Danio rerio: one gene and its partners. Each later gene encodes a partner of the first gene's protein in a complex. Links are inferred from orthologs where the notes say so. Each region holds a gene or a part of one and is shown on either strand. Other genes may lie near its edges.

Region 1 (4,317 bases):
ACAAATGAGCTCATGTATTGGGGCCAATTCTTTCAAACTACCTCAAAGACAAACAAATTAAAAACCATTTTAAGGTCAAAATTATTAGCCTCTTTAAGCTAGGTTTTTCCCGATAGACTACAGAACAAACCATCGTTATACAATAACTTGCCTTATTACCCTAACCTGCCTAGTTAACCTAATTAACCTAGTTAAGCCTTTAAATGTCACTTTAAGCTGTATAGAAGTGCCTTGAGAAAAATCTAGTCAAATATTATTTACTGTCATCATGACAAAGATAAAAGAAATCAGTCATTAGAAATGAGTTATTAAAACTGTTATGTTCAGAAATGTGTTGGAATTTTTTTTATATCCATTAAATAGAAATGGGGGGAAAAAATAAACAGGGGCGTTATTAATTCTGACTTAACCTGTATGTATGTATGTATGTATGTATGTGTATTATTTAATTATAGACTGTATATGTATGTAGATGCAGTTTTTCAACTTAAAATTAAAGGATTTTATTAAAAATTAATTAATATTATACCACTATTACTATTGATATTATAATTATTTAATTATATTATTGAAATTGAATAAAAATAAATAATATAAATGAAGTCATAAATAAGGCGATGCAGTGGTGCATTAGGTAGAGCTGTCGCCTCACAGCAAGAAGGTCGCTGGTTCGAGCCTCAACTGGGTCAGTTGACATTTCTGTGTGGAGTTTGCATGTTCTCCTGGCGTTTGCGTGGATTCCCTCCGGGTGCTTCAGTTTCCCCATCAAGTCCTAAAACTTGCGGTACAGGTGAATTGGGTAGGCTAAATTGTTCGTAGTGCCTGAGTGCGAATGGGTGTATATGTTTCCCAGAGATGGGTTGCGGCTGGAAGGGCATCCCCTGTGTAAAAACTTGCTGGATAAGTTGGCGGTTCATTCCGCTGTGGCGACCCCAGATTAATAAAGGGACTAAGCTAAAAAAAAATGAATGAAAAAGTAATAAATAAATAACTCAAACCTATATAAAAATGTAATAGTTAATCAACAGGAAATGGTTGATGTGGTCTAAAGTACTGATTTGGTTTGAAAAAAAAGCTTCTATTCTTTTATAAAGAGGTTCTATGCAATCAAATTGATTTACTATAATTGTTCATTTTCTCTGGAGTTAATCTTATAACAAACAAAACGAATTATATCTGGCTGTGTTATAGCTACCTCTTCTGGTCACTGCAGATACTTACACTAGCCAATAAGACTTTTTTATACATATTTAAGCTACACTTTCATTAAATTGTCTGCTCATAGTTGTACAAAAAATGTCTTTGATGTAAGATAAACGTAATATATAATACGTTTTTTATCATTAGTTAAAAATGGCCTGTAAGTTATAGTGGACACAGACGATACACCTCCAAATCAATAGGGGGCGGCAGTTTTGCAGAAGTCTTGTCTGACGTCACGCACGCGGCAAAAACAAAAATGACGTACCCGCGGTATTTCCCTTAAATTTAGATTTTGATACTTTGCCTAATTTTATAGTATAAACTCTATATTTTTCGAAGTACGCACACAGAAGATCATTTCTAGCCAAGAGCCATTGCTTGTCCGCTTGTTAAAGGTGAGCATATTGATATTATTATCGCCTTGCTGGATCTTCAGTTATGTTACATTTCACTCTTACTAATGTGTAAAATACTGGAATTCAGTATAGCTTATAGTTTAACACAGATTCTGAATTGTTATCTTGAAATGCGTATTTTTATGTTCACATAATACAGATCGCTTTATTATGCGTGCGCATGTGTTTATAAGACAGTTAGCATTTAACGTTAGTGTTTAACGTTACACTTACTGTGATTCAGTAAATCGACATGGGTTCTTTCGATGTAAACAGATTTAAAATATGTCATTATTTGCTCTCTCTTCACGTGTTCCAAACTCGTTGAGTTTCTTTCTTCTGTTAAACACAAAAGAAGACGTTTTAAAGAAAGCTGGAAACCTGTAAATATTAACAACTATTAAACGTCAATTGACTTTTACAGTATTTGTGTTTCCTACTCTGGAAGTCAATGGTTACAGGGTTTCAGCGTTCAAAATCTTCATTTGTGTTCAGCAAAAGAAAGAAAATCATCAAGGTTTGTATACATGAATACTTGTTCATTTTTTTGGCAAACCATGCTTTTAATCATACTTTACTACTTATAAAGCAAATACATACAGTTGTAATTAAAATTTGATTATTGTAAATCCACAATGCTTTTTTCTAATCATAATTAAACCATGGTACTTGCAGCAAAATTATGGTTATACAAATGATAAGCCAAATTCCAAAAGTACCATGGTTATTACATTTTTACTATAATAAAACTTGTATTATTACAGCAGTCTAAAATCACACATTTTGTTAGATGTTAGTCACTTATGATTAAGTTTTATATACTTTAATTGAAAATGTCTGGTAAAAAATGTGTATTTCAGCGTATTTTGAAAGTACTTGGTCATGGACTCTGTGGAGACAAGATATGCCCATTTACTGCAACCCTTGCGGGACCTCACCAAGAACTGGGACATAGACTTGGCCAGCCAGCTTGGAGAATATCTCGAGGAGGTGAGAAAACATACAGTCTGATTGAGAATTACCTTAATGTTTTGAATGTGCAGATTTTCATATTATTGCTGTTGTTTTTGTTGTTGACAGCTGGACCAGATGACTATTTCATTTGATGGTGGAAAGACCATGATGAACTTTGCAGAGGCTGCACTTTTGATTCAAGGATCAACATGCATCTATGGCAGAAAGGTACAATGTTTGATCAATCAAAAGAGAAATGTACTAGAATTTCACATTTTCCAATTGTGATCATGTTATTAACAGGGAACCATTTCATTTTGCACATTTTAATCCTCAATATGTTTCAGAATCACATTTCTAAACAAATGCAACATGTTAACACGTGTAATTCATTTATTTTTATTTAATTTATTTATTTTTCTGTAGGTTCAATAAAATAAATAATAAAATAACACAAAATACAGTATTGCAATTTTAAGTGTTTTTGTTTATGTATGCAGTCAATGTGTTTCATAATCAAATGTGATTTTAAAATTGTTTGTAAAACTTAAATAAATCTGTCCCAAGATTAATGGTGAAATTTGCTGTGAACATTTAGGTGGAGCTCCTTCACACTCTGGTGTTCCAAACATTGGACTACATCTCTAATAAAAACAAAAAGTAGGTGATTGAAAAAAAAAAGATAATAATAATAATAATAATAATAATAATAATAATTGACCTCCAGTTTCTGTTTATTCTTTATGTGTAATGTTGCTTGTTTTTTCCTAACAGACGTGATAAACAAGGTTCTTCATCAGATGGAAACCAAGAACAAGCTCCTTCGGGAAGCGAAGGCGATGGTTGTGAGGTGTGTAAATGATCAACATTTGATAACTTTAAATATGTGGTTATATTGTGAGTAATTGTGTGTTTTTGTGCAGTTTGATGAGATTGAGCAGGATGAGAATGTCAACACTCACAATATTACAATGAAAGATCCAACAGAGGTAAGCATGGTTATATTGCTTTCTAGAACCTGTGTTTGTGTCCAGAAGCTTTGTCTGAATCTGTTCATGCTTGTAGTTTGGTTTATTTGGTTGATTTGTTTTGGGGGAAAAAGATAAAGAAAATGTAATATGTGAATTTTTTTTTTGTAGTCTTGGTTGGTTTAGGATGTATGCTGTCCTTTAGGATTCAGACTGAAAATGTTTTTATAATTTCTATTTTGTAAAAGAATTAAACAATATAATGTTGTTGCAAACCTCAAAGTTCAGATGGCAATATTCACATTTATTCAAATAAACTGCACTAACAAACAATCAAAACCGAGTTTGTTATAATCAAACCAAGTCTGCCTAGTATGAGTGAATTTTGACTGGACATAGTATTCTTTTTACTAGTGATTATATGCTCTTGATATAAAGCAATACCAGCAATTGTTTAGTATTCTCTGCACAGCAAATGGTTGTTTTGCGAAAACCTTTTATAAGAATTCAGGAAAGTTTTGATATATTTGTTTTTGTGGTACTAATTCTTTTTCACTCATTTGTTTTTAGCCAGTGAGAATTATCCGTCTTCCTCCTGAATCTCTCATTCCTGCTGAATCACACGAGAAGCAAAAATACCCCCTTCTAAGGTAAAGTCACTGTCATGTAGAGACAAATGAAAATGATGCATACATTTACACTGTAAAACAGCAAATAGGAGAATGTAAAGAATCTTCCATTGGGTTCACACCTGTAGATTAGTTGTCAGGGTTCTTTAGTCCAGACCAAAAAGGAGA
Region 2 (3,647 bases), on another chromosome or scaffold:
TAAAATCAGACCGTATATAAAAGTTTTGCAACCAGTTACCTTAAAAAATGTAGTAAAGTGTATTGCTCTCATTTGCTTCTTCTCAGGAACGTGCATCCTATCTGGAGTACCAGAAGCTCATGCGAGAGATTGAACACCTGAGTCGGCTGTACGTGGCGTACCTGTTTGTGTGTGCCGAGGAAACCAAGCTGAAGTCTAATGAAGAACTGCAAGAGATGCAGAGCTCCATCGCAAAGCTGCAGGAGAACATGAAACAGAATGAGGCCAAAGTGAAGGAGCTCAGTGCAGAGATACAGGAGCTGGAGCGCAGGAGAGACAAGGTGAGTGGAGAACAAACAGCCAGATCTAAAAACAAGGGCAGGAATTAATAGTGCATTCATTGGGAATATTCATTAAGGGGGCAATTCCTGTCTAACAAAGTCCATCAGAGTAGTGGGGGGCAGGCCCAAGGAGAACAAGGGCTCACTTATGGATTACTTATTATAAAAACTGAGCAGATTGCTCCGTTTTTGGCTAAATAAATAAAAAATGTAAATTATAATAATTCCTTACTTGTATATAGCACTTTTCTGGACACTTAAAGCATTTTACACATTGAGGGAATCTCCTCATCCACCACCAGTGTGCACCACTGATGATGCCACCTGGATGTTGTTTCAGTGATTCATTTAAATTGCTATCAGATTTTATTTGCTAAGCTAATTTCCGCCTCTTATAATCTACTGAGACTTTTAATTATTATTAATTATTCGATTTAAAAAAATGCAAATATTTTTTTTTTCCAAAGTTCAAATGCAAATATTTTTTTTCTGTAAAATATTCTATTTACATATTGTGTAATGATATTTACATCACAATATATTTTACCATCACAAATATGCAAACATAGTGCATGTAAGAGAAAAGGAGTACAGAGAAACAGAGAACAGTATCAGATCAGTAAGAATACAAATTGTCCTTGTGTTTATACATAGTTTTAAGATAATTTATAAAAGAACACCACTTTTGTTGCTGTTGTTTTTTTTTTCTTTCAAATTTCTAATAAGTTTTTTTCAAAACATGTCTTTCTTAAGAACAGATATGCTACCTACTATTAAAAAAAAGGTTTAGTTAAATATTTCAATCCGCACCAGTGCATTAAACTCATTTATACTGTTACACAGAAAAATTCTGTGTAAAATACAGTTGAAGTCAGAATTATAATTTTTTTCTTTTTAAAATATTTTCTAAATAATGTTTAACAGAGCAATGAAATTTAGATTTTTTTATATTGTTTGATTTCGGCTAGAATAAAAGGAGTTTTTATTTTTTTAGAAACCATTTTAAGGTCAAAATTAATAGCCCTGTTGAGCTATATATTTTTTCGATACACAATCGTTATACAATAACTTGCCTTATTACCCAAACCTGCCTAATTACCATAGTTAAGCCTTTAAATGTCACTTTAAGCTGTATAAAAGTGTCTTGAAAAATATCTAGTCAAATATTATTTGCTGTCATTATGGCAAAGAAAAAATAAATCTGTTATTAGTAATGAGTTATCAAAACTTTTATGTTTGGAAATGTTTGGAAAAAAATCTTCTCCATTAAACAGAAATTGGGGGAAAATATAGACAGGGAGGCTAATAATTTAGGGGGTTTAACAATTCTGACTTCAACTGTAAATGTTGTGCTTTTCAACTTTCTCTTTATAAACAGTATATCACAGTTTTTACTTAAAAATGGCATAACTGTTGTCAGCTTTGATAATATTAAGCCAATCAATTGAGCATTTTATAATGATTTCCGAAGATCACATGACATTGAACTCAACTCATGAATTCAGCTTTGCTATAACAAGAATAAACATCTTTTTAAAACCTGTATTTCACAGTGCTGCTTTTATGGTATTATTTTTTTAGATACGCAACCTTAAAAGACCTTACAAACTGCTAAATCAAAGTGTATTCACAATTCATCTTATAGTACTGAATTGAAACAAGTGGTGAACAAATGTCAAATTCCTCCATCAGAGATGAGACCTTTTATCAATGTTTACATTTTAAACAAGTGGCAAGAAGACGGGATGCATTAGAAAATAATACATTACATGAAATCCAACCTGAAATCTCACAGATTGTTAAGAGATTTTAAGACTAGATTTGATCAGGTGATTTTTACCAGACACAATACAAGAATAACCCATGTTTTTTGCTCCAATGTGAAATCCCTACTCGGTGTTTGTGCTGCACGACTCCCCTTAAAACACATTTTTCTGGACTGTCCTGCTTTTACTGATTCCAGAAGACTTTTAAATGAATTGAACTCTCATAAGGACATTTTTAGCAAAGTGACAACAAAAAAGATTTTAATATTTTTATTATGTAATAACACTAAAAAACTTATTTAATTGATGTGTTCCTTATTGATTTTTAATTGTATATTTATTGAAATGTTCCTCCCATGAAAATAGCCTTGGTCACTGACATGGCATTAAATAAAAAATGCAATACATTATAGTTCTGAATATAAGTGTATTCACAACTGTACCATTCAAACATGTAAACAATATATGACTACACTTACTATTTTAATCATAAGTTATCTGAAATGCAGTGATTTAAAAAATGTGATAATGTTTCCTTTAATCTAGCAATATGTATTGTATAATTAACTCAGATTATATAAAACGTTTATTAATTAGAAATAGTAATTGTTATCATGGTTATTTTTTTGCATGTATAATTTTTTCATCTTGAAATTTTGTGTTGTAAGTTATTGCGGCTGCATCTGTTGTGTAGCTTTAGTTGTGTCAACTGTCAAAATGTTCTATGCAGAGAGGAAAACTGTCTTTAATTTATTCAAAATGATTTGTGGTTCTGATTAAACTCATCCAAGGTCCAAATCTGGACCGCAGTCTGCGGTGGGGTGACCTCGAATTTAAATAGTTTGGGTTTCTTTTACTTGAACAGGTTTGGTAATCGAGTACTTTTGTGGAGACTGGAGGTCTGTAATATGGGATGGGATGGTGGGTAATGGACTGGCAAAAGTATTAAAATCATTGTACGGGAAAAGATTTGTGAATTTTTAATGATGCAAATTGATACCTGTTAGAAAAGTGTGCGGTTGATTGATTGAATATTTCTGTCTCCTGTTGTACTCCATTAGCTCGTCTCATTTCTGTGTCTGTCTCTCTTTCTCTCCAGGAGGTTGGGGGGGTATTGAGGACGCTGGAAGAGACCTTGTCTGAAGCACAGAGAGTGGACACCAAGGCCCAAAGTGCCCTGGATCTGAAGAAGCAAAACCTGAAAGATGAGACCAAGAAGAGGAAAGAGCTGGTCAAAAACATGGAGGAGGTATGAGATGATGCTGTCCTTTATTCAAATTAGGCTTTTGTATTTGCTTTTTGGTTTTCCACTCTTTGACTTAAAGGTAGTTCACCCAAAAATGGAAATTTACTCAAGTGGTTCCAAATATTTGAGTTTTATTTAATCTGTTGAACCCAAAAGAGATATATTGAAGATGCATACAATTCTTGTTTGTCGTCTCGCGCATTGTGTCTGTTTGTGTCTGTAGATTTCAGTTGCAATATATATTTTTACTACTTCACTCTCTTAGACATAAATCTCCTTCATCTCCTAATAGCACTTACACCAAATGTTTTATTC
Region 3 (3,647 bases), on another chromosome or scaffold:
ATGCCTATGTTTGCTATTATTGACACTAGCTGCTGGAAGATGTTCTCTCAGTTCAGGACACCTCCTCCATGGCCAGCCTGCTGGAGATCCTTGTCATTCTGTGGAAGAGTGTTCAGAAATCTCTAATGGCTAATCAAGAGGCCTTTAAGTACACCACTGCAAAGTTTGGATCTTCTCTGCCCCAGTACCTTAAAATCTTTCAGGTAAGAGGCACGTTCAAGCGATGAAACCAAAGGACAATTTTAAGATCAAAATGGCACACTATAATCACATCTTCAAAGCTGATGCAACATGGGTGCAACATGACGCATTTGTGTGTGTGTGTGCATGTGCGCAGGAGGAGCGATGCAAAGCACCTCTCATTCTTCTAGCATCTTTACTTCCTGCCTCTGCTCTTCCAGCTCTGAGGTTAGTACACTTATTACACTATAGGACTTCCCTTAAAAAAATCCCTAAATGCCCCATTTTAGAAGAATAATGCAGCCAACAATGAAAACACTCTTTCTTGACATAAGGTGAATTGTCTAAATAGTAAAAAATATGAACAAGTGTACCAGCAAAGGACAGTTTTAAAAAGAACAGCACTTCTAAATATATGTTTTTCTGATGATTATCTAGCACAGTCCACGTGCTTCAGTCAGTCGTCTCCCCAGAACAGCAGGTTGGCTCAAAAGCGAATTGCCAATTCTGATTTCCATTTGATCCCAAAAGCATCCTTTTAATGCTGGTGGGATTGAGCGTGTTTTTTCAAAGAATTAGAGCGATCTGTAGAAAAGTCTGGGTGTACAGCATGACTGTGTCCTTCTCTGCAGGAGTAAAGTGATGTCTCACTTGAGGAGCTTGAAAGCGGGTGCTGCTGTGACAACGTACAGTCAGACGTTGGAATGTCTCTGTAGCTGGGGGCAGATCAGCCATATAGTGGAGCTTATCGAGAACTGGCTCACTGAGGCCGCACCTGTGAAAGAGGTACATGTGCTGGAAAGTGTCTATGTGTGGGGGTCATTATTAAGGCTGGGTATTGTTTTTGTGTTTTTAAAGGGATAGTTCAATTAAAAAATATAATCCTCCCCATTATTTTAAAGGTACAGTAGGTGATCTGCCTAAATGCTATCAGTTTGCCATACAATCATTGAAATACAGTCCATCCCCTGCCGTCCAAAGCCATGCCATGGTGTCATCCTTTCTCCAGCATGCAAGAGTAAATCCAATACTAATTCAGGATTTTAAAAAGTTTTGATTCAGCATTTGTTTTTACCGCTGTCACTCTTTCAACTAGCACAACAAAAAATGTTTCTGAAGACAATCACATACTGCACCTTTGAACATGTTTGACTTTCCCTCATCTGTTGAACACAGAAGATATTTTGAAGAGTGCTGGTTGCTGAGACCCGACTTTTATATTAGATTTTTTACTGTAGAGTTCAATGGATACTAGCAACCAGCATTCCTTAAAAAATCCTCAGAAGAAAAAAAATCAAACAGAAGAAATAAACTTAAACAGGTTTTGCTCAGCTACCTAAACAGCTACCTAAATTGACATTTTAAATTGTATTATTGAAATTGAAAAATATATTGAAAGTTTTAGACAACGTAAAGACATAAGTAAATGCAAAGCAAATTTACTAAACAATAAATCATAGCCATCTTGGCCATCTACAATAATTGAACAGTAAATAAGAGCACTATTCACAGCAAAACTACTTATGCAGAAACATGACTTTATTTGGCAAAATACAACACCTCTGCCTGCCGTCTTACTTCATGTTCTGATATGTCATCGTTAGACCATTAAAAACTTTGTGCATTAAAACGCTTTGTGATCATTCACAATAGGTACATTGTGAGTATATGCAAAGTTGAGTCTGGATTATGTGACTGTGTGAGGATTGTAAAAGCATTCCGGCATAAGAAATTGTACCGTTTGTAACTTTGACGAATTAATAATAATTAATTTTATTGAATTGTTTCTAAAATGAAGACTATGAGATAATATTTTTTTTACCTTTGATTATTCAATTACTATATCTGAATACAGTTTGACTCCTTGGAAAACAGCAAAATGCTGTTTATTTAATTTGTATATTTTTTCTTTATAGAATTTTTCTTTGCTTGTAGATTGTTAAATCTAAAAATATAAATTCTGTCCAAATAGGTATTCAACTCATCTGGTGAAATTGTATTCACATCACGATATATATTGCAGAATAAAAAACATCTCAATGCCAGATTTATTTCAATATTGTGCAGCCCTAGAATACACAATAAGTGATGTTTAGGGCCAGACAGAATCTGCAGACATTTTTTCACTATTTCTGCGCTGAATATTGTAAAAAAAAAAAAAAATCTGTGGATTTGAGCAGAATGATTTTGGGAGTATCGTAACAAAAATGTATTATATGAAATATAAAAAAAAACTTTTTAACATTTATTTAGTGTTTAGAATGCAAATCAAATTAGATCCACTTATTTGGTTAACAAAGCAAGTCTCTCATATAATTTATCTACTAAAAGACAGTAAGCATTATTTTAAAAACTGTATTGTGAATAACTCATATGAACATTTTCATATTAGTCAATACTATTACTGAAAATAATTTAACAACTAAATAAATATACATTTACATAAGTAAATAAATAGAATCGATTGGCTTAAAATCTGCGGATTTCTGCATGCACAGATTCCATGTGGGCCCAGTGATGTCTCTAGAAATATTACAGTTAGACAGAACAGTTATAAGCTTGACATTGCAGTCTCAATAACTAATCATATACTAGTCTGTAGCTTGTAATAAGAATAATCATTCCTTAACTTGCTGTGTCTGTGCTTTTTCACAAATTATGATGGATTAAAAATTATTTTTAATTATTAAAGTTGTTTAATTTAGTTATTAAAGTTATTTTTAATTATTAAAATCATACATCACATGCATCAAAATCTGCATTTTAATTTGATCCAAATACTTACTTGTTACATTGGTATGGCACCAAGTTTCAGAACCTAGCTTTTCATTATAGTGTCTTCATTCTTTCATTAGCAGGGTGATGAAGAATCAACTGGCAAAGTGCATTTTGATGTCCTGGAGGAGTCAAAGCCAGATCTAGGCCTAGACTATCTGGATTACATGCTCTTGAGACCTAAAACACGAGAATGTCTGCTCACACTGCCCCTGGATCAGATGAGACCACTTCATAAAGCCCTCAACAAATGGAAGGTACAGCAAACTTGAAGGTTGAGAATATTATTAGAGAGAATTGGTGAAAGCCTACTCTTTTATTGTGTGTCGTGTTATTACTGTCATTAGATACAAAGTCAATAAGGTAATTGCAGGTTTTCTGTGGCCTTGCTTTGAAAATAGTGCTGCACAGAGCTGAATCATGGCTAAATGTCGTGATGTTTTTGTCCTTATTATCTACTTATATCTCTGAAAGCTCACAGAATTGTTATATTCAAGGATGTTTTGTTTACCAAGGTCAGACTTCAAATATTATATTACATGTTTTTCAGCCTCTATCTTTGAAAAAAATTATGTTTTTTTCAGGGTTTTTGTAGGGTCTTAAAAAGTTTTCATTTTTTTTTTTAAACAAAAATGAAAAGCCTTAAAGTCTTAACGTTGACCTGGTATAACCATGTTTTTTTAAACTTTCTT

What was found. The genes of interacting proteins can lie anywhere in the genome.
Region 2: the proteins of ncaph2 (region 1) and smc2 are in contact, whole or in part, in a cryo-EM structure (PDB 9F5W), measured with the Homo sapiens proteins. The link is inferred for Danio rerio from reciprocal best matches to the Homo sapiens genes NCAPH2 and SMC2. Residues at the interface, in NP_689512.2 of Homo sapiens: Glu46, Phe53, Ile54, Glu55, Leu58, Leu59, Gly62, Ser63, Ala64, Cys65, Val66, Lys69, Tyr73; in NP_001036015.1 of Homo sapiens: Leu93, Thr125, Gln128, Asp129, Cys132, Gly135, Leu136, Asn137, Met173, Tyr174, Lys177, Lys178.
Region 3: the proteins of ncaph2 (region 1) and ncapg2 are in contact, whole or in part, in a cryo-EM structure (PDB 9F5W), measured with the Homo sapiens proteins. The link is inferred for Danio rerio from reciprocal best matches to the Homo sapiens genes NCAPH2 and NCAPG2. Residues at the interface, in NP_689512.2 of Homo sapiens: Pro316, Trp317, Gln318, Ser319, Leu320, Pro322, Phe323, Asp324, Ser325, Leu326, Glu327, Ser328, Lys329, Pro330, Phe331, Lys332, Lys333, Gly334, Arg335, Pro336, Tyr337, Ser338, Val339, Glu344, Gln360, Asp361, Phe362, Gln364, Trp365, Tyr366; in NP_001268861.1 of Homo sapiens: Lys248, Leu251, Gln252, His292, Ile294, His295, Leu296, Pro297, Arg299, Ser300, Val302, Lys340, Ala341, Arg342, Asn343, Ser344, Glu345, Val346, Pro388, Tyr389, Pro390, Arg393, Gly425, Glu426, Ala428, Phe429, Asp430, Thr431, Ser432, Arg437.

The regions. Positions count from the first base shown.
Region 1 is NC_133179.1:19,032,015-19,036,331, forward strand, and holds the start of ncaph2 (condensin-2 complex subunit H2), read left to right. Parts: upstream 1-1,505; 5' UTR 1,506-1,598; intron 1,599-2,458; 5' UTR 2,459-2,480; coding exon 2,481-2,588; intron 2,589-2,678; coding exon 2,679-2,780; intron 2,781-3,150; coding exon 3,151-3,212; intron 3,213-3,326; coding exon 3,327-3,402; intron 3,403-3,475; coding exon 3,476-3,541; intron 3,542-4,090; coding exon 4,091-4,170; intron 4,171-4,317. UniProt on the Homo sapiens protein: Regulatory subunit of the condensin-2 complex, a complex that seems to provide chromosomes with an additional level of organization and rigidity and in establishing mitotic chromosome architecture.
Region 2 is NC_133176.1:21,044,422-21,048,068, forward strand, and holds part of smc2 (structural maintenance of chromosomes protein 2), read left to right. Parts: intron 1-86; coding exon 87-320; intron 321-3,185; coding exon 3,186-3,335; intron 3,336-3,647. UniProt on the Homo sapiens protein: Central component of the condensin complex, a complex required for conversion of interphase chromatin into mitotic-like condense chromosomes.
Region 3 is NC_133182.1:40,558,111-40,561,757, forward strand, and holds part of ncapg2 (condensin-2 complex subunit G2), read left to right. Parts: intron 1-29; coding exon 30-203; intron 204-337; coding exon 338-408; intron 409-812; coding exon 813-966; intron 967-3,035; coding exon 3,036-3,212; intron 3,213-3,647. UniProt on the Homo sapiens protein: Regulatory subunit of the condensin-2 complex, a complex which establishes mitotic chromosome architecture and is involved in physical rigidity of the chromatid axis.